Saccharomyces cerevisiae S288C: one gene and its partners. The gene in region 4 interacts genetically with the main gene of each other region. Each region holds a gene or a part of one and is shown on either strand. Other genes may lie near its edges.

Region 1 (3,101 bases), on a different chromosome or scaffold from region 4:
AAAAGATGGCTTATCCAGGAAGGCGCCTGAACAAGTTCTTGCTTCCCACAGTAAAGAAAAATCAAAATGGCCGCCATAGCGGTGCAGGAAGGTCTTGCCTATCGAGGATATTGTTTTTACTCCAAAAGGAAAGAGGAAAGTTAACAAAATCAACTTTTCAAACGGAGAGTATAACACCCGGAAGTTAAAAACTGTGAGGAAGATAAAAAGAAATCTTCACGAAGTTTTTTCCATTTTGGTGATCTAATGAAGTCAGCTATCACTTTTTTGCGCTACGGGCTTTATGTGACGCAATAGCCCGTGCCACTTTAAACTTTTTTGTGCCTTGGCACCTTTGGCAGTATACGAAGAAGATCAATTAAACAAGAACGACGAGATCTCGGACAAGATATGACAGGGTTTAAAGTTTCTTCTTTTTTTTATATTCTGGCATTGTCCCGCTTTTTCAACGCAGGAAGGGAACGAGCTTGTGATAAGTTAAAAATTACAGTTACACATCTATACTGGTTTATTATACGCAAACTTTTGTTACATGAGGTTCATGTTCATGTTAGTCGTGTTTGCAACGTTTCTTTTATTTTGTCTCCTTGCCTCTTTCGCAATTTTTTTACGTTGTCTCTTCATGTACTCTATGTAATGTATGAGCAGGCTCTGACACCCGAGTTCTTCCGTCAATGGTGGGATATTATTCAATCCAAATGATCCTTGATCTGTGGAATACTCGCCAAGAATTAAGTGGCCCTCTTGAGCGACCCACCTAAAAAGAGATGTTTCAAATTCTCTAGTATAATGAGCTGCCACGAACCTCTGAACTTTTTGATCCTTTTGGTCGATGGACATCTTATTTTTAGCGGCTCTAATGACATCTTCATCCAAACGATTCACTTCATAATCTGCTAACAGAATTAATTTATAATGATCGTTGGTAACTACGGGCGAATAAGTGACATGCCACCTGAGATTTAAATTATTCACTTTAGTGTCCAAATCCCTGTGTCCTTCTCGGTGAGCCATTGCTAGTAAGTTGGGCTCCGTAGACGTAGTCCCTACGAAGCTGTAAGTTACGTTTGCTTGGCTGACATTTTTATATATGTCGTAAAGAGGCACTTTATACAATATTAATCCGTTGTTTGAGCAAACGATTTTTGCCACAGTATAAGGCGGAGGTTCGTCTGCCGTTCTTAAAATAAATTTGAAAATTTTATAATATGGGACATTGCCGACCACAGTATTGCTATGACCTCTTTTACCAAACGGTAGAGTGCAATTGATAATTTGGAATAATGGAATACCAATTGCATCTGGACTCAGCTCATTCGAATACTTTTTAGTGTTTTCAAAATTTTCAAGCGATTGCTGAGACGGAAACATGAAAAACCCATCCTCGCCGTTTATCTCGGCTATGGGCATTCTTCTTTCCCTATTAAAATGAAAGCACTCTGGGACACTTTTGCTATCGGACATTTCAATCTTCAATCTCTGCTCATCTTTAAGCCCATCTGCTGCTTTCTTAAGAAGGTATCTACTTATTGAACCCATAATCAGATTTTTCTTGAAAAACTTTTAATGGAAGCTTAGCACCTGCTTCGGTCTTCTTTATCTTGGCGAACTTTGCCAAATCTGTAGTTGTTTCAAATACTGTCATGTTGGCAGTCTTCTTTTTATATGCGTTCACGCCGATGGCCAAGCCTACAACATTTTCTCAAAAAGGGACCATTGTCCCTTGCTGCGCCAAAAAAAAGAAATAGGCGCATACGTTCCGTCATCTATCGCTCACAAAAAGTGGAACCGGTAGGATTTTATCACTGACACATACCGTTGTACTAAGAGAGCAATTAAGTCGACAACGCAATTGATATGCGCTCTTCGTTATCGAACCCTAGCGGTGTATTTTTCGGACAAACTTACTGTTCATTATGGCCGAATGCTTACCTAAAACGACACTTCTGGTCGTTTTCAACTCTCATGCTCTAAGCAATTAGGCTTTTGGGGCGAAGCGGACAAGCTCTTAAGGCCGTGAATAAAGAAAGGGAGATGAAAGGACGCCGTAGCAGCTGCAATAGCTTTCTTTCGGTCATCAAAAATCCCAGTGAATTCTTGGGGGACACTTGTGGGGTTGCATTACTCGAAATGCTTCGGACGAGTACCTGATTCGTTAAACATATATATATCTCATGGTGAATTGGAAACGGTTGTAGATCTTATATAGGAAAAGTCATTCATAACTAGTTCCATGCCGACTAAGTATTTCGTCCAGGCTCGGCGTTCTTGTTGAACGAATTTTCCCATAATCATCCAGATTTCCAAGAACCTCGCCTTCGTAACATTTTGCAACAACAAGTGGATGGAGAATTTTGGCTATTTTTAGTTCAAGAAAACTTAGAAATTTTTCAACGGTTTTTTATCTCGTTAGTATTATCATTCCAAAAGTATACTTATGTGGGTACATAGTTATAAATATATGAGGGAATCTATCTATTAAGGTTAAAAAAGCGTTACATCGTAAAACGGTAATCATGGCTGCTCAATTTTAACGTAGTCACCATTCTTGGCAGAAGATTTTAAAAACGCGTCCACACAAGCCAAATGGTGAAATGCAGTTCTGGGTGTGCCTAGGTATAAGGATTTGTCCTTCTTGCTGACAGCTTCGTGAAAATTCAAAAATTCAGCGTTGACGCCGAAACTTTCATCATTATCGACTTTAAAAATTTGTTCGTCACCGTTATCTTCAGCTGAACCCCCTAATTTGACTTTTACAACGGGGTCTTTTTTGTCTGATAAGTCAACGGTAACGGTACCATTCTTACCATAGACTTTCAAGAAAACCGACTTTTCGGTAGCACCAAAGGCAGACCCATAAGTAAAACTTCCGATAACCTCTTTATTTTTCAACTGGACAGTAGCAAAGACAATATCATCTGCACCGGAACGTTCACGCACCTGTCTCGTTAATGCAGAAACAGATCCAAATTCACCGAGTAGGGAAATAACGAGAGCTAATTGGTGGACACCACCATCAGATAGAAATCCGCCAATGTGCTCTGGTTTTTGTCTCCAGGTTGTGGTCAAATATTTATTTTGAGTAACAAATGGACCGGTAG
Region 2 (7,568 bases), on a different chromosome or scaffold from region 4:
GCAGGGCATTACCATAAGTGGCCACAGCGTTATCTATTCCTGAAGGGGTACCGTGAATACACTTTTCACCTATGAAGGCCCATTGATTCACTATATGCTTATCGTTTTCTGACAGCTTTTCCAAGTCATTAGATCCTATTAACCCCCCCAAGTAGGCCATAGCTAAGGCCAGTGATACAGAAATAGAGGCGCTTGAGCCCAACCCAGCACCGATGGGTAAAGTAGACTTTAAAGAAAACTTAATATTCTTGGCATGGGGGCATAGGCAAACAAACATATACAGGAAACAAAACGCTGCATGGTAGTGGAAGGATTCGGATAGTTGAGCTAACAACGGATCCAAAAGACTAACGAGTTCCTGAGACAAGCCATCGGTGGCTTGTTGAGCCTTGGCCAATTTTTGGGAGTTTACTTGATCCTCGGTGATGGCATTGAAATCATTGATGGACCACTTATGATTAAAGCTAATGTCCGGGAAGTCCAATTCAATAGTATCTGGTGCAGATGACTCGCTTATTAGCAGGTAGGTTCTCAACGCAGACACACTAGCAGCGACGGCAGGCTTGTTGTACACAGCAGAGTGTTCACCAAAAATAATAACCTTTCCCGGTGCAGAAGTTAAGAACGGTAATGACATATTGACAGTTTTCTATACGTAGATATAAATTTGCAAGTTAGGACTAAGAAGCGCACCAGCTAACCAGGAAGTAATATCATGGCTAACTAACCTTTATAGGCATATCGTTGTATCGTTCTTCGATACCCTGTCGAAGATTTCAGTGCGACAGCCAAACGAGGCCCGAAAATTGTCAGTACAATTACAACCGATAAAATACACGTTGAGACAAAACTAGCACAAAACGCCTCTTTAAACATAAATGTGTACGCATTCTGAAAGTGAGATAGAGTACAAGGCTATCGCTAGCTTTCCACGGGAGAAGTAGTAGGAACCTCTCTTTTTATTGCTTATGACAGTAATAATAGCATCATTCATCAATGTTTCCGTTAGGGTAACTAAAATGGGTGGGCGGCAGATGACAAGAAAAGATGAATAATGAAGAATGATAAAGAAGAAGTCATCTTGGGTAGAAAGGGAAGACAATTACACACGGCCAAAGCTGGGGGGCTCGCCGGATACATTCTCACTTTTACATTACCATATTCACAATTACTTGCATTCGAATAGGACAGTACAAGCTCGCGTTATATTTGGATCCTTATCGATTCTATAATATAACGGGCAGCCAGATAGTACGGTTGAAAGGACAGCGCCCTGAATACAGAAAACGCATTTTTGCCCATTCGTATAGGCATTCATCTCGAATAGGTTTGAATTTTCCATCTAGAAGAAGGTATTCCAATTATGTGGATCGAGGCAATATTCATAAACATACTCGATTACCGCCCCAGTTCATAGGGCTAAATACTGTGGAAAGTGCCCAACCTTCAATATTAAGAGATTTTGTTGATTTACGTGGTGGACATACTGTTATTTCAAAGATCTTAATAGCAAACAATGGTATTGCTGCGGTGAAAGAAATGAGATCTATAAGAAAATGGGCGTACGAGACGTTCAATGATGAAAAAATCATTCAATTCGTGGTAATGGCGACACCTGATGATTTACACGCAAATTCGGAGTATATTAGAATGGCAGACCAATATGTGCAGGTACCAGGGGGTACCAACAACAACAATTACGCCAACATAGACTTAATACTGGACGTGGCAGAGCAAACGGATGTGGATGCGGTCTGGGCTGGATGGGGCCATGCTTCTGAAAATCCGTGTCTTCCTGAGCTGTTAGCTAGTTCACAAAGGAAAATACTATTCATTGGTCCTCCTGGACGCGCTATGAGATCATTGGGTGACAAGATTTCTTCCACTATTGTAGCACAAAGCGCTAAAATCCCGTGTATCCCTTGGTCTGGTTCACATATAGACACTATCCATATCGATAACAAGACGAACTTTGTATCTGTGCCGGATGATGTATATGTAAGGGGATGTTGTTCCTCACCTGAAGATGCTTTAGAAAAGGCTAAATTAATAGGATTTCCTGTAATGATTAAGGCATCCGAAGGTGGTGGAGGTAAGGGCATTAGGCGAGTAGATAATGAGGATGATTTTATTGCATTATATCGCCAAGCAGTGAATGAGACACCTGGGTCGCCTATGTTTGTTATGAAAGTTGTCACTGATGCTCGTCACTTAGAGGTACAGTTATTAGCTGACCAATATGGCACTAACATTACATTGTTTGGGAGAGACTGTTCCATACAAAGGCGGCACCAAAAGATTATAGAAGAGGCACCAGTGACAATAACCAAGCCTGAAACGTTTCAAAGGATGGAACGCGCAGCAATTCGTCTAGGTGAATTGGTAGGTTATGTTTCTGCGGGCACTGTCGAATACTTATATTCACCAAAAGATGATAAATTTTACTTTTTAGAACTGAATCCGAGACTACAAGTAGAGCATCCAACGACAGAAATGATATCTGGCGTAAACCTTCCTGCCACTCAACTGCAAATCGCCATGGGCATTCCTATGCACATGATAAGTGATATCAGAAAACTTTATGGTTTAGATCCAACGGGAACTTCGTATATTGATTTTAAAAATTTAAAGAGACCCTCGCCAAAAGGCCATTGTATTTCATGCAGGATCACTTCAGAAGATCCTAATGAAGGTTTCAAGCCCTCCACTGGGAAAATACATGAGCTCAATTTTCGTTCTTCTTCCAATGTTTGGGGTTACTTCTCAGTAGGAAATAATGGTGCTATTCACTCATTTTCAGATTCCCAATTTGGGCACATTTTTGCTGTAGGAAACGATAGGCAAGATGCAAAGCAAAACATGGTTTTAGCTCTAAAAGATTTTTCCATCCGAGGAGAATTCAAAACCCCCATAGAGTACCTGATAGAGCTATTAGAAACTCGGGACTTTGAGAGTAATAACATATCGACTGGTTGGTTAGATGATTTGATTTTGAAAAATTTATCTTCCGATAGCAAACTAGATCCAACGCTCGCTATTATCTGTGGTGCCGCAATGAAAGCATACGTTTTCACAGAAAAGGTGAGGAATAAGTATTTGGAATTATTGCGGAGGGGCCAAGTTCCACCTAAAGATTTTCTTAAAACGAAGTTTCCTGTTGACTTCATTTTCGATAATAATAGATACTTGTTCAATGTTGCTCAATCATCTGAAGAACAATTTATTCTTTCTATCAATAAGTCTCAATGTGAAGTTAATGTTCAAAAATTGTCCAGTGACTGCTTGTTGATCTCCGTTGACGGTAAATGCCATACAGTTTATTGGAAGGACGATATCAGAGGTACAAGACTTTCGATAGACTCCAATACCATATTTTTAGAAGCTGAACTCAATCCCACTCAAGTGATCTCTCCAACTCCGGGGAAATTGGTGAAATATTTGGTCCGAAGTGGTGATCACGTTTTTGCTGGACAGCAATATGCAGAAATAGAAATAATGAAAATGCAGATGCCACTAGTAGCGAAAAGTGATGGTGTAATTGAGTTACTAAGACAGCCCGGTTCCATAATTGAGGCTGGTGATGTCATCGCAAAATTGACTTTGGATTCGCCGTCCAAAGCTAACGAATCGTCTTTATACCGCGGAGAATTACCTGTTTTAGGTCCACCGCTAATAGAGGGTAGCCGACCAAACCATAAGCTCAGAGTCTTAATAAATAGGTTAGAAAATATTCTCAATGGATATCATGAAAACTCTGGAATAGAAACTACTCTAAAAGAGTTGATAAAAATATTGAGAGATGGTAGGCTTCCTTATTCAGAATGGGATTCCCAAATTTCTACGGTACGCAATAGACTACCAAGGCAATTGAATGAGGGGCTGGGAAATCTAGTCAAGAAATCTGTTTCTTTTCCTGCAAAGGAACTGCACAAATTAATGAAGCGCTACTTGGAAGAAAATACAAATGATCATGTAGTTTATGTTGCCTTACAGCCACTTCTTAAAATTAGTGAAAGGTATAGCGAAGGTTTAGCTAATCACGAATGTGAAATTTTTTTAAAGTTGATTAAAAAGTACTATGCTGTTGAGAAAATTTTTGAAAATCATGATATACATGAAGAAAGAAACTTACTAAATCTGCGGAGGAAAGACCTTACAAACTTGAAAAAAATTTTGTGCATAAGTTTATCGCATGCTAACGTAGTCGCAAAGAACAAGTTAGTAACTGCAATATTGCATGAATACGAGCCATTGTGCCAGGATTCCTCTAAGATGTCTTTAAAATTCAGGGCTGTTATACATGATTTGGCAAGTTTGGAATCTAAGTGGGCTAAAGAGGTTGCTGTAAAGGCAAGATCAGTGCTACTCAGAGGGATTTTCCCTCCCATAAAGAAAAGAAAAGAGCATATTAAAACTCTCCTGCAATTGCACATAAAGGATACTGGTGCCGAAAACATTCACAGCAGGAACATATATTCCTGTATGAGGGATTTTGGTAATTTAATACATTCAAATCTGATACAACTTCAGGATTTGTTCTTTTTTTTTGGCCATCAAGATACGGCTCTTTCCAGTATAGCATCTGAAATTTATGCAAGGTATGCCTACGGCAATTATCAATTAAAAAGTATTAAGATTCATAAAGGAGCGCCTGATTTACTAATGTCATGGCAATTCAGCTCATTAAGAAATTATTTAGTCAATTCTGATGGTGAGAGTGATGAGTTTACAAAACTTTCTAAACCTCCCTCAACATCAGGTAAGAGCTCAGCAAATAGTTTTGGTCTTCTTGTCAACATGCGTGCGCTTGAATCTCTGGAAAAGACATTAGACGAGGTATACGAACAAATTCATATTCCTGAGGAAAGACTTTCCAGCGGAGAGAACTCTCTTATTGTTAATATTTTATCTCCTATTCGTTACAGAAGTGAAAATGATCTAATTAAAACTTTAAAAATTAAACTTCATGAAAATGAGAGAGGTCTATCCAAGCTCAAGGTTAATCGTATTACATTTGCATTTATCGCCGCGAATGCGCCCGCTGTTAAATTTTACTCCTTTGATGGAACTACGTACGATGAAATCTCTCAAATAAGAAATATGGATCCATCCTATGAAGCACCGTTAGAGTTAGGAAAAATGTCGAACTATAAAATCAGATCACTACCTACATACGATAGTAGTATACGCATTTTTGAAGGTATTAGCAAATTTACGCCGCTAGATAAAAGGTTCTTTGTCAGGAAAATCATAAATTCCTTCATGTATAATGATCAAAAAACAACCGAAGAAAACTTGAAAGCGGAAATCAATGCTCAAGTGGTTTATATGTTAGAACATCTAGGAGCAGTTGACATCTCAAATTCAGACTTGAATCATATTTTTTTAAGTTTCAATACAGTTCTTAACATACCAGTACATCGTCTCGAGGAAATTGTGAGTACAATTCTAAAGACTCACGAAACCAGATTGTTTCAAGAAAGAATCACAGATGTAGAAATTTGCATCTCTGTTGAGTGCCTAGAAACAAAGAAGCCAGCCCCGCTTAGATTACTTATTTCTAATAAATCTGGGTATGTGGTAAAAATTGAGACATATTACGAAAAGATAGGGAAAAATGGGAATCTGATTTTGGAACCGTGTAGTGAGCAGAGCCATTATAGCCAGAAATCTCTCTCTCTTCCTTACTCGGTCAAGGATTGGCTACAACCTAAAAGGTACAAAGCTCAATTCATGGGTACAACATATGTGTACGATTTCCCAGGTCTGTTTCATCAAGCTGCAATCCAACAGTGGAAAAGGTATTTTCCAAAACATAAGCTGAATGACAGTTTTTTTAGTTGGGTTGAATTGATAGAACAAAACGGTAATTTAATAAAAGTAAACAGGGAGCCAGGCCTTAATAATATAGGGATGGTTGCTTTTGAGATTATGGTTCAGACACCTGAATATCCTGAAGGGCGTAACATGATCGTGATTTCTAATGATATTACCTACAATATTGGATCTTTTGGACCGAGAGAAGATTTGTTTTTTGATAGGGTCACAAATTATGCAAGAGAGAGAGGGATCCCGAGGATATACTTGGCGGCGAATTCAGGAGCTAAATTGGGTATAGCCGAAGAGCTGATCCCTCTATTTCGTGTAGCATGGAATGACCCCTCTGATCCAACAAAGGGTTTCCAGTACTTATACTTAGCTCCAAAAGACATGCAGCTACTGAAAGATTCTGGGAAAGGAAATTCGGTTGTTGTTGAACACAAGATGGTATACGGTGAAGAGAGATATATTATTAAAGCAATAGTCGGATTCGAAGAGGGTTTAGGTGTTGAATGTTTACAGGGCTCGGGTTTAATTGCTGGTGCCACTTCGAAAGCGTATAGAGACATTTTCACTATTACTGCTGTTACTTGTCGGTCCGTTGGTATAGGTTCCTATCTGGTCAGACTAGGACAACGTACTATTCAGGTGGAGGATAAGCCTATCATACTGACGGGTGCATCGGCGATTAATAAAGTTTTGGGTACCGATATCTATACATCTAACCTACAAATTGGCGGAACCCAAATCATGTATAAAAACGGAATAGCGCATTTAACAGCCAGTAATGATATGAAAGCCATCGAAAAAATAATGACATGGTTATCATATGTCCCGGCGAAAAGAGATATGAGTCCTCCACTTCTTGAAACTATGGATAGATGGGATAGGGATGTAGACTTCAAACCTGCCAAGCAAGTGCCATATGAGGCAAGGTGGTTGATAGAGGGTAAATGGGACTCAAATAACAACTTCCAGTCAGGCCTATTTGATAAGGATTCGTTTTTTGAGACATTATCTGGATGGGCCAAAGGTGTAATAGTTGGAAGAGCACGTCTTGGAGGTATTCCCGTGGGTGTTATTGCGGTAGAAACTAAGACTATCGAAGAAATAATCCCCGCTGACCCAGCTAATCTGGATTCTTCAGAGTTTTCCGTTAAAGAAGCAGGACAGGTGTGGTATCCAAATTCCGCGTTCAAAACAGCTCAAACTATAAATGATTTTAACTATGGTGAGCAATTACCATTGATTATCTTAGCCAATTGGAGGGGATTTTCTGGCGGTCAAAGGGATATGTACAATGAAGTACTAAAGTACGGGTCTTTTATTGTTGACGCTCTGGTTGACTACAAACAACCCATACTGATATACATTCCGCCCTTTGGTGAATTAAGGGGCGGATCATGGGTTGTTATAGATCCAACTATTAATCCTGAACAAATGGAAATGTATGCCGATGTTGAATCTAGGGGAGGTGTGTTAGAACCTGACGGAGTAGTTAGCATAAAATACCGTAAGGAGAAAATGATAGAGACGATGATTCGATTAGACTCCACATATGGACATTTGAGAAGAACGTTGACAGAAAAAAAGTTATCTTTGGAAAAACAAAATGATCTTACGAAGAGATTGAAAATAAGAGAGAGACAGTTGATACCAATTTACAATCAAATCAGCATACAGTTTGCAGATTTACATGATAGATCGACTAGGATGCTAGTTAAAGGAGTAATCCGAAATGAGTTGGA
Region 3 (5,444 bases), on a different chromosome or scaffold from region 4:
AGACCTTTTACCAAATTCATTTGCAAAATTGGTTCCATGCGAAGGTAAGGACGTAACGCAGGGTTTAGAGGTTAAAGTAAAGCTTGGTAATATATGGAAGGAAAGTTTGATTGAATTGTCCGGTGGGCAAAGGTCGTTGATTGCTTTGTCATTGATTATGGCATTGTTGCAATTTCGACCAGCGCCTATGTATATTTTGGATGAAGTTGATGCTGCTCTTGATTTAAGTCATACGCAAAATATAGGTCATTTGATTAAAACAAGGTTTAAAGGATCTCAGTTCATTGTAGTCTCGCTTAAAGAAGGTATGTTTGCCAATGCTAATAGGGTCTTCAGGACGAGATTTCAAGATGGTACCTCCGTAGTTAGTATAATGTGATGGTTAGTTTTCATAAGACAAATAAATATTGTAATGTAATCATATTTCAATAATTTTCTATTTGGCAGCCAATAGAAAAGCTTGCGCATAGAAGAAAACTAAAAGTAAAAAAAAAATAGAAATGTTCAAGACAGGTTCAATAAATAGATATTTAGTTTTTATTACTATATTAATTTAGTAGACTTCTAAAATGTATCTTGATGCTTCCTTTAATTCTTCAATTGCGGCATCCAAGTCGACTTTGATGCCTCTTTCCTCGGCGTCTTTAGCCAGAATGTCTTGCAAAGCTTGAGTAATATCTGGAACTGGCCAAGTAGGGCCACACAAGTAAAATGAACCTTTATTATCAATCATTGCAGTTTTTAATTCATCCAAATTCTCTTTGATACGATCTTGAATGTAAATTTTTTGAGGTTGGTCTCTTGAGAAAGCAGCGCCGATGTGTGTGATAATACCTGCATCTTTGTAAGCCTCCCATAACTCACCATATAAATATTCTTCTCTTTTGTGTCTTGAACCTAGATATAGGAAGACTTCACCAATCTCATAACCTTGCTGCTTTTGCCATAATTTCTCTTCAACAATGGCCTTGAATGGTGCCAAACCAGTACCTAAACCACTCATAATAACTGGTTGCTTTGGAGATGGTGGTAATTTCATAACAGATGGTTTAACGCTAACGACCAATTCTGAACCGACAGCAAGGTCTGAGATATACTTAGAAGCTTGACCGTACCTTTTTCTTCCTTTATTATCCACCCAATCAACAACAACGATCAATAAATGAACTTCATTTGGATGAACTTTCTGAGAGGAGGCAATTGAGTATTCTCTTCTCTTCAATGGTTCAATGATAGTAACAAGTTCCTCAAGAGATGGGCGAACAGATGGGAACAATTCAAAAATGTCAGCATATGTATAATACTCCACATCTTGAAATCTCTTCAAATCTACTGCACCGGCAGGAGTAACCAAATCCTCTAATTTTTTCTTCTCCTCTTCGTTAGAGGCATATGGAATCAATGATTCGTAAAATCTTTTTGGTGGTTTACCGAAAATATCCAAATTTTCCACAAATGCTTGTAAGACGGTTCTTGTTTCTAACAAATGGTGGTTGTCCTTGTTGGGGACTAAGACAACATCGGATTCATTTAGACCATAGAAGGTTAAGAATTCTTTGACCAAAGATTCATTGTTTCTGGCATGAATACCGAGGGCTTCACCGATGTCATAAGTCATTCCAGTACCAGAAATATCGAATTCAATATGGAAAATATATCTATCATAATCAGCAGGCGTAACACGTCTATTTTCTTTAACTTTCACGACGAAGTTCTTGACGGGTAAATCGGGTCTTAGTTTATTCTCAACTTCATATGCCTCTTTGAAGGACAACTTCTTGGCAATATCAGAGATCTCAGAGGTCTCAGGTAATGGTATTTCTTCAATGGTACTGTTATTTGGGAGGAAAGATGTTTCATTAACGAAAATTGGTAAAGCTGCAGGCTCTTCCTCATCCTCTTTCTTTTCAATGTTTATTTCAGAAAATTTAGTGTACAGCGCTAGCGGAACCTCACTGAGGAAGTTTTTGAATGCACCAGTGAGAAATTCAGAAATCGAGGCTGCTGAAATGTCTGCACCTGAATCAATGCTTTTCCAGATACGGTTGGTACATTCTGCGACATCTAGACCGAAGGCCAATTTCCAGAAAACGGCTTGGATAAACAAGGACAATTTGGACTCGTCGTTAGTGGTCTCACCATCGATGATAAACAATTTGATGTTTTTCTTCGCAATAGATATTAGGAATGATTCAGGAATTCCCAAATTCTTGACGTAACTTTCTACAGAATTTAAATCCAAATCTTTAACTGCCTTTTGGGAAACCAACGCAATTGAACCTTGTTCTGCGACGGTAGCAGCTACGTCTAAATGCTTCAATAAACTGACATCTTCAACGACTGATAATTTCGTAGAATCGATGTTTGAAACAGGTATCTGTTCTTTCGAGGTCACAAATTGAGCTTGGAAGGTACCAGCATTAGCCAAGTTATCAAATTTCGTTCTCAAAGACACAAATTTCCCATCTTCCAAAGACAGAGCTTTCACAAGTTTGGAGGCAACATCAATATTGATACTCTTATCAGAGGCCCAATAAATGAATCCTTCGCCGAAAGATGAATCGGCATTGTAAGTGAATTCAGGGATGAATGACGATACAATTGATTTGACAGCTTTTGGGGACCAAATGAAATCTGGTTGATAGATGTACTCAGAAACGCTAATTGAGGTGCGGCCGTGGTAAAATAAGGCGGCTGAAACTTGAGATCTCAAGAAAGAAGGCGAAGAACCATCCAAAGTTTGGCCTATAACAACAATTTGTTTGGTAGTGGATGGAACGTGAGTGACAAACTTAGCAACGTTAAAAGGTAATGGCACTCTGACGTTGATTAACCCGATTTTGGAATTATTACCACTAATCGCAGAGTTGAACAATTCGGATTCTAAAGACCCATAAGTGATAAACACAGTTTCAGCATCCTGAGCACCAAAGTATTGGAAATTATGTAGTCTCAATCCAGTCAATTCATTAAACTTATCCAAGACATCATCAAAGGCAGCATCTGGTGCAATAACTTTGGATAGTTTTGCCAAAATAGATGCCTCAGGAACAGATTCGACCAACGGCAAGACGGTTTTCGAGTAGTTTAATCCGTCAAATAAATTGATAGCTCCGGAGTTATTACTGAAAGTGGCAATCGCCAATGCCAGTAAGGCGACACTTTGTACCTCGTTAGCGGAAATCGGAGTCACGACACCATACTTCAGCTTGGAAGCAGCATCCAATGCGGTTACATAATCGTTGGTGACAGAGCCGGTAGCATTGTCGTAGTTTAAAGCACCAACATTCAAAAGAAACTTACCATCATGAGAGACGGTTTTCAAAGAGTTAATGAAGTATGGCAGCGAAAACCCTGGAGCAACAATTGCTGTAGTGTTCTTCAATCCATGAGAAAACCCTAAAGGAGCCAAACCAGCGCCAGATCTGATATCCAGCTCTTGGAAAAATGGCTTCCCACGTGATTCGTTACCACGCTTTTCAGACCATTTTTTTAGATCTTGGTGTAGCAAATCGGGTTGAGAAAAGGACTTGTAAGCAAAAATGGAGTCCACGTTATTGAACAGCACAGATGAAATGGCAGTTACGGGTGTACCATATTTTGGCAGTGAAGTTGCATTTTTGGCCTCGCCAAAAGGATTGGTAGCAAACTCAACTGGCATCTCGTTGTATATTTGGGTGACCTCGAGGAAAAGCAGTTGAAAAAAACTATGTGCACCCCATCTAAACGAAACTATTTCCAATCAAAAGATGGTGGTCTCGAGAACTACTGCCCTCTGTTGCTTATATATACCTTTTGCTCGAAGATGACTATGGGTTTCCGACGATTCATGAATGAGTCTTTTCTACGGCACCAAAAAAGCCACACCTGTGGGGTGAATTGTGGTCACGTGCTTCTATAAGCTCACGTGGTGTGGTATATCTTATTGGGAATGTTGATAGTGTTTTCTTTTAATACCTGTATACCAGAACCTTAAACATACGTATATATTTAGATGCATTATTTGTGGAATATTTGCTTACATTTGGTGATTTCGCGAGATTGGGGCAAGCCATATGCAAAGTCTTCCACAAAGAAAGTCCCCTTTCTGTCGAGAATATAAAGCTTGTTGCCCTCTGGGTTAAACCGCAAAGTAGCTGATTCATAAGCCCTGTAGGCATTTGCCACGGTTTCAACGAGGATTGTCCTTCTTTTTTCGTTGTTGTCCATCATGGTGGGGGCACACATGATGTAAACTGATCCGTTGCGGTCGAGGAAGGCAATTGCGTCGTTTCTTGGTGATATTTCGCACTTGTGAATCTTGCATCCAATCTCATCTACCCTTATAAGCATGGATGGTTGTGCCACGGTCCGTACACCGTTAATTTGGGTGATTTTGGTGTTTATGACCAGTGGAGATGAATTGAATGCTGTTGATGTGATACACATCAGATTTGGATTTCCTGGGAAAAGTTTTGTGTCAGTGATACCTTCAGATTCTAAGGAAGTGTCTATGGACCGAACACTTTTCATTATCAGTCTTGGTTCGTTTATTTTCTGCAAAGATATGATCAAGAACCGCGACTCTAGCGCGGTCGAACATGTCAGATACTTGGCGTCGTGCGAAAGTTGTATGGTATTGATGGGATCTCTGTATGGAAGTGTTATGGTGATTGGTGGGGGGAACTCGGGCTCCAAAGTCACTTTATTTCTGGTAATTTGTTGGATCACGACTAATGCTTGTTCCGCGCCTGTATGTCTATCCTTTCCGGTGATTCCGTAGGCTATTATCTGCGACCTTGGATCTATGTCTATGCATCGGATGGGGAATCTCGACACGTAGGTATAGATGAGTTTGCCGTTTTGGTGTATGTCGTGTACATTAAGAATGTTTTGCGAACCCGATATTATCAAGAAATCATTGGAAAGTTTGCAAAAACGTTGGCTCCAGTTTTTCTTTTTCTTTTTTGACGCTTGAGAAGTAGTGGAGAGTGAAGATGACGATTGCTCTGTTAGTTGGTTGAAGTTGGGACCATATTCTCCACTAGACTTGCCACATGATACTAGTTGAGGAGAGTTGTCCTTCGGATTAATCGAATAAATTTCCCACTTGTGTTCAGTAATTAGAGCAAATTTGGTGCAATCGGGAGAAATGCTTTGGTTGATGAATAATTTGGATTTCGTCCCTAGGAATTTGGGGTGTGTGTTGAACTGAAATTTTTTTCTGTACATGGGGAAACAGTTGGCAAAAAAGTACTCCTTTTCTTCGTCCAGATCATGTGCACTATTTGTTTGGTAGTTTGCTGTGGAAGGTATTGTAACGTCCGTAGACATCAAAGAGAAGTTGTTATCTATCGGCACAGTTCTTGTGTTCGAGGCATTATCCAGGATTTTCCAGTTCGCGTGGTCGTCATAGTTGGGCTCGAGTAAGCTGCTTGAGTAATTCTCCTTAGTGGTGTGTTCTT
Region 4 (4,426 bases):
GAACGCTATAATTGGCATCGTCTTCGTTGAATGACGAAACTGTGTCAAAAACACTTTCGTTCGGTACCAAGGCGGCTTCTGTCGACATAGTTGATGACATTATCATCCTGTCATGCCGGGTTTTGCCTTCTGTGATTGTAAAAGTGTGCGAGTCTTCCTCGATTTTGAATTACTTCGGTGCCAAATGTACAAAATACTATCCTAACTTTTCAAAAATAGTTTATTCTTATAAAATCATCCGTAAAATGATTAACTGTCCCCGCTAAAAGCGTTTGTAAGCTCAGTTCATAGATATGTCTTCCATCCGTAAATCCGCCTAACGAATAGCAACACATTCTTTTTCCTTTTACATTTTCTATTGACATAACGCGAAGCAAACGTATCATTGTTGTTTTTTTTCTATAAATAATCAAAAAGAGTAATTGTTTTAGATGAAATAAAAATGCGATTAAAATATGAATCATACATACGTATATACATATATATATATATTGTTTCTCCTAAATAAAAAAAAGCTAAATTTCAATGCCACTTTAAGGATACTTTGAGCTGCTCAGGGCTGCATGCCATTGACAAAAATTCAAACGTTAGTAGTTTTCTCACGGATGCTCTTGATTCGACATTCACTTGCAAACAGGCATCTAAGAATTGTTTGGTTTGCTTGGACACTGACTCTGGATGACGCAATTTTGGTGAACCGTTGTTAGCTATCAGATACAGCGCCTTCAAAGGATCCTCATTTAGGTAAGGCGGTTCACCTTCTATCATCTCAATAAGCATTATCCCTAGAGACCAAACGTCGACTTTTTCATCATATCCCTTTTGATTCACTATTTCAGGTGCCATCCAATATGGAGTACCTACCATTGTGGCACGCTTGCTTCTTTTTTCTGTTAATTCCACACAAAAACCGAAGTCTGTAATTTTCACTAACCCTTGGGAATTCAGAAGGATATTATCAGATTTGATATCTCGATGGATAATTTTCTTGTTATGCAAAAACTTCAAACCTTGGCACGTCTCTTTTACTATATATGCCATTTGGTTTTCGTTTAACGGCGATGAGTGCTCACCGGTATTGCTCCTTGCTACAGCATCCAATATATCTGTTAAGCAGCCACCTTCCATGTACTCCATTATCACCCATAACTCTTCGTCATCAATAATATAGGCTTCAAGGAAATTAACGATATTTTCTTGGCGCGAATCATTCATCACTAGGAGTTCATTCATAATCAATTGTTTCTTTGGTTGTTCAGATAAACGTATCTGCTTAATGGCCACTCTTTCGCCTACGACTCGGTGGCAATGTGATTTCAAGAATCTCGGGTCATTTTCTTGAGGTAATTTTATTCGCTTTGACAGGTATACTGCACCACTTGCTCCTTGACCAGCCTTTTCTACCAGTTGGAAATACGGTCTTGGGTTTACATCAATTGCAACAGTTTTCATCTTCATTATTATTTCATTCGAATCATCATTATTCTTAAGTTCAAGGAGATCCTCCTTATGCCATTTAGTTTTACTATCATGATTTTTTGTAGCAGGTGCAGATGGTGCTAGTCGATGAGGTCTAAATGTTGAATTATTATCATGCCTTCGCAGATGGCTTTGAATGACTTTCTGTTCCTTCTTTCCTAACTGCTTTGTCTGGGAATCTGCCGTGCTTTCTTTACTAACATGCACCCTGCCTTCTTCGCGTACTTTATTGTCCTCTATGTTGGTAAACTTATAATCATCATCACTAGGCCTTGGGAATGGTTTAAGTTCTGATTGATAGACGGGTAAAATGGAATCTGTTTTGCCTTTTCGGAGCGTCCTACTTACTGATCTCTTGATGGAATTAGTCCTCTTGTTTATAATATACCTTGTCGGACTTTTTAAAGGTTTCAAGTCTAAGCTTGTGTTGAGGTGATCATTGAATTGCATTGTGTCCAGTCCATTGTAATCTTCATAAAATTGCAGTGCTTTAATAACAGCTTTTGAGTTTCTGTTCCAATCGTCGTACGTAATTTCTGAGGTTTGTAGTAGTTTAGCCCAACTATCAGGTACTCCAACAAAGTTTCCCACTTTTGGGTCGAACCCAACGTGTACTTTGTGTGTAAAATTTGTTGGTGATGAAACACCACTAAGGAGAGGACATTTGGCAAAAATGGCATCAAGCCAGCCATGCAAATCCCGTTCGGTTCTTGTGGAAATGAATATCGATCTTTTGGAATTTGATTCATAAAAGTAGGAGTTTATGGGGGATATGTTCTCTTTTTGATCTGTTGCCCGAAGAATCTCAAAACAATTTTGTTTCAATTGTATTCTGCTAACATTTGTTATACTAGTCAAAGGCACAGATAAGACTGGTTCCTCATTGCACTTATCACTTTTGTAAAATGCTAAATACGAATCATTCAGTACCAAGTATCTCTTTTGCCATAAGAACGAAAACAATCCATCAACTTTATAAGATATCCATCCTTCCTTTTTTACGCCCTTCATCGAAAGATATTCTTTCGTTTTGTCTGATTGTCCTCGAGTATAGCTCTACAAAAATTGTACTTATCGTCTGATCCATTGAGAAAACCAGGTGTAGGTCTTCATAAAGCGAATATTTATTCACTTACCACTGGGGACCTCCCCACAGAACTTGATTAGATGAATCTGCGTCCTGTTCCTTCATTCTTTTTTTAGTTTACAACAAACCATAACACCCGTGATGACAACAACAGGAATTATCGCAAATCAATCTTTTACCAGATCTGGAAGCGGATAGTCAACATTTCGTGTCTTCCAAGGGGCTGACGAAATCAAGCGTATACGGTAAAAAAAAACAACAGAATCCTTAACATTACTGTTTGCCTTTCAGTAAATTGAAGGGAAACACGCCAAGAAATATCATATGACAACATTGATGGGAAAGTTTAAACTTACTGGGCGCTCCCCTCTGTTTGTACTTCAACCAATGTTGCACTGCAAGAAACAACAGTTCGTTGAAGAGGCAGTCAGATTGATTAGTAATAAAAAGATCGGAAAGAAATCTGACTTCGTCCAGGCAAGAAACTGGGTAGGAGCACTTAACGTAACGGGCTTGCCCTTAAATCAATTTATTTTACGTTACGATAGAGCCAGCGGGCCAGGAGGCCAAAACGTTAATAAGGTAAATAGTAAATGTACTTTGACACTTTCTGGTTTATCAAACTGTGCTTGGATTCCTCAGGAAGTGAGAAACATCTTAAGTAGCGGCAGGTTTCGATACTACGCTAAGGGCAGCGATTCTATAGTAATTCAATCTGATGAAACTAGGTCAAGGGAAACCAACAAATTAAAATGCTTCGAGAAGTTGGTTCAAGAAATTCGGCAAACGTGCCAATTTCCTAATGATACCACTGCTGAGACCTCAAAGAAATGGAATAAAATAAAAGAGAAAGCCAACAAAGAGCGACTTCTTGACAAAAAAGTTCACAGCGATAAAAAGAAAAACAGAAGTAAAATTAAATTCAATTATTAATACATAATACGCATATTTAAACACACATTCTATCCAGGTACACAGTGATGTACAGTTCAGTGCATCATTTAAACAAAAAGGCACATATTAAAGGGTATAAGGATTATATCCATCTTCATCATCATCTTCGCTAGAGACAGTGATATATGTCTCTCCACTATTTCTCTTGGCCGGTTCACTTTCAGGTTTTTCTTCTATTTTAGCCTTCTTAGCAGGTGGGTTCGTTATTTCATAATCATCATCTGTTGTGGTAGCGGTGGCTGTGGAGGTAACTGTATCTTCGGCAAAATCTTCATCATGAATTATTCTGCTACGTTTCTTGTGATAGTTTTCATTTTCAATAATAGCCTTATTCAGTACTAGACCTCTTTCATCCTTGAAATCTCTTGCCTTTCCACGATATTTGATCACGTTTCCCAATATACTTTTCCCCAATCGATCCTTAAAAGTTGCTGAATGTAATTCAAAACATCTATTCGTCAACAGATCAAAAGCACCAGCAAATGCCTTTTTAATATCTCGAATGTTAAAGGACCCTCGACTGATGTTATTTGATTCATCACCTGGATCTTGAATGGCCAATGAAAATGGATTTTTAATAGGCTGAATAGCACTCCATGTCGATTTTGGAAAGTATACTGGATATCCATCCGATGATCCCAGTGCAACATCATCATAACCAAAATTTTTCCCATAAAGTTCAAAAAACTCTATCAGGAGCACACCCAAGTTGTCCTTTGGATCTATTTCGTTAGTTATTATACGTGGGTGCATATGCAAAAAGGAAAAGACAAGACATATAATACTAAACCCACCAAGACCACCGGTATGCACATTATTTAGTCTTCTTGCGTGTAGGAATTGTTTTACGATAAGGACTAATTCTCTCAGGCCGGGGGTATCGTCCAACCACTCTCTAATAAGCTT

What was found.
Region 1: mutations in SKM1 (region 4) and DIA1 together harm fitness more than expected from each alone (negative genetic interaction), as found in Saccharomyces cerevisiae (2 studies listed by BioGRID).
Region 2: mutations in SKM1 (region 4) and HFA1 together harm fitness more than expected from each alone (negative genetic interaction), as found in Saccharomyces cerevisiae (2 studies listed by BioGRID).
Region 3: mutations in SKM1 (region 4) and MET10 together harm fitness more than expected from each alone (negative genetic interaction), as found in Saccharomyces cerevisiae (2 studies listed by BioGRID).

Annotation. Positions count from the first base shown.
Region 1 is NC_001145.3:903,263-906,363, reverse strand, and holds DIA1 (Dia1p), read right to left. Parts: upstream 1,540-3,101; coding exon 529-1,539; downstream 1-528. Other genes in the region: YMR316C-A (uncharacterized protein), read left to right, coding at 391-702; YMR315W-A (uncharacterized protein), read right to left, coding at 1,971-2,078; YMR315W (uncharacterized protein), read right to left, coding at 2,515-3,101. UniProt on the Saccharomyces cerevisiae protein: Involved in regulation of invasive growth.
Region 2 is NC_001145.3:677,536-685,103, reverse strand, and holds the start of HFA1 (acetyl-CoA carboxylase HFA1), read left to right. Parts: upstream 1-1,539; coding exon 1,540-7,568. Other genes in the region: ERG12 (mevalonate kinase), read right to left, coding at 1-637. UniProt on the Saccharomyces cerevisiae protein: Catalyzes the rate-limiting reaction in the mitochondrial fatty acid synthesis (FAS) type II pathway. Responsible for the production of the mitochondrial malonyl-CoA, used for the biosynthesis of the cofactor lipoic acid.
Region 3 is NC_001138.5:211,529-216,972, reverse strand, and holds MET10 (sulfite reductase subunit alpha), read right to left. Parts: upstream 3,662-5,444; coding exon 554-3,661; downstream 1-553. Other genes in the region: condensin subunit SMC2, read left to right, coding at 1-379; PTR3 (Ptr3p), read right to left, coding at 4,000-5,444. UniProt on the Saccharomyces cerevisiae protein: This enzyme catalyzes the 6-electron reduction of sulfite to sulfide. This is one of several activities required for the biosynthesis of L-cysteine from sulfate.
Region 4 is NC_001147.6:102,390-106,815, reverse strand, and holds SKM1 (putative serine/threonine protein kinase SKM1), read right to left. Parts: upstream 2,491-4,426; coding exon 523-2,490; downstream 1-522. Other genes in the region: Rab GTPase-activating protein MSB4, read right to left, coding at 1-106; PTH4 (Pth4p), read left to right, coding at 2,891-3,499; non-canonical poly(A) polymerase PAP2, read right to left, coding at 3,587-4,426. UniProt on the Saccharomyces cerevisiae protein: May be involved in cellular signaling or cytoskeletal functions. May play a role in morphogenetic control.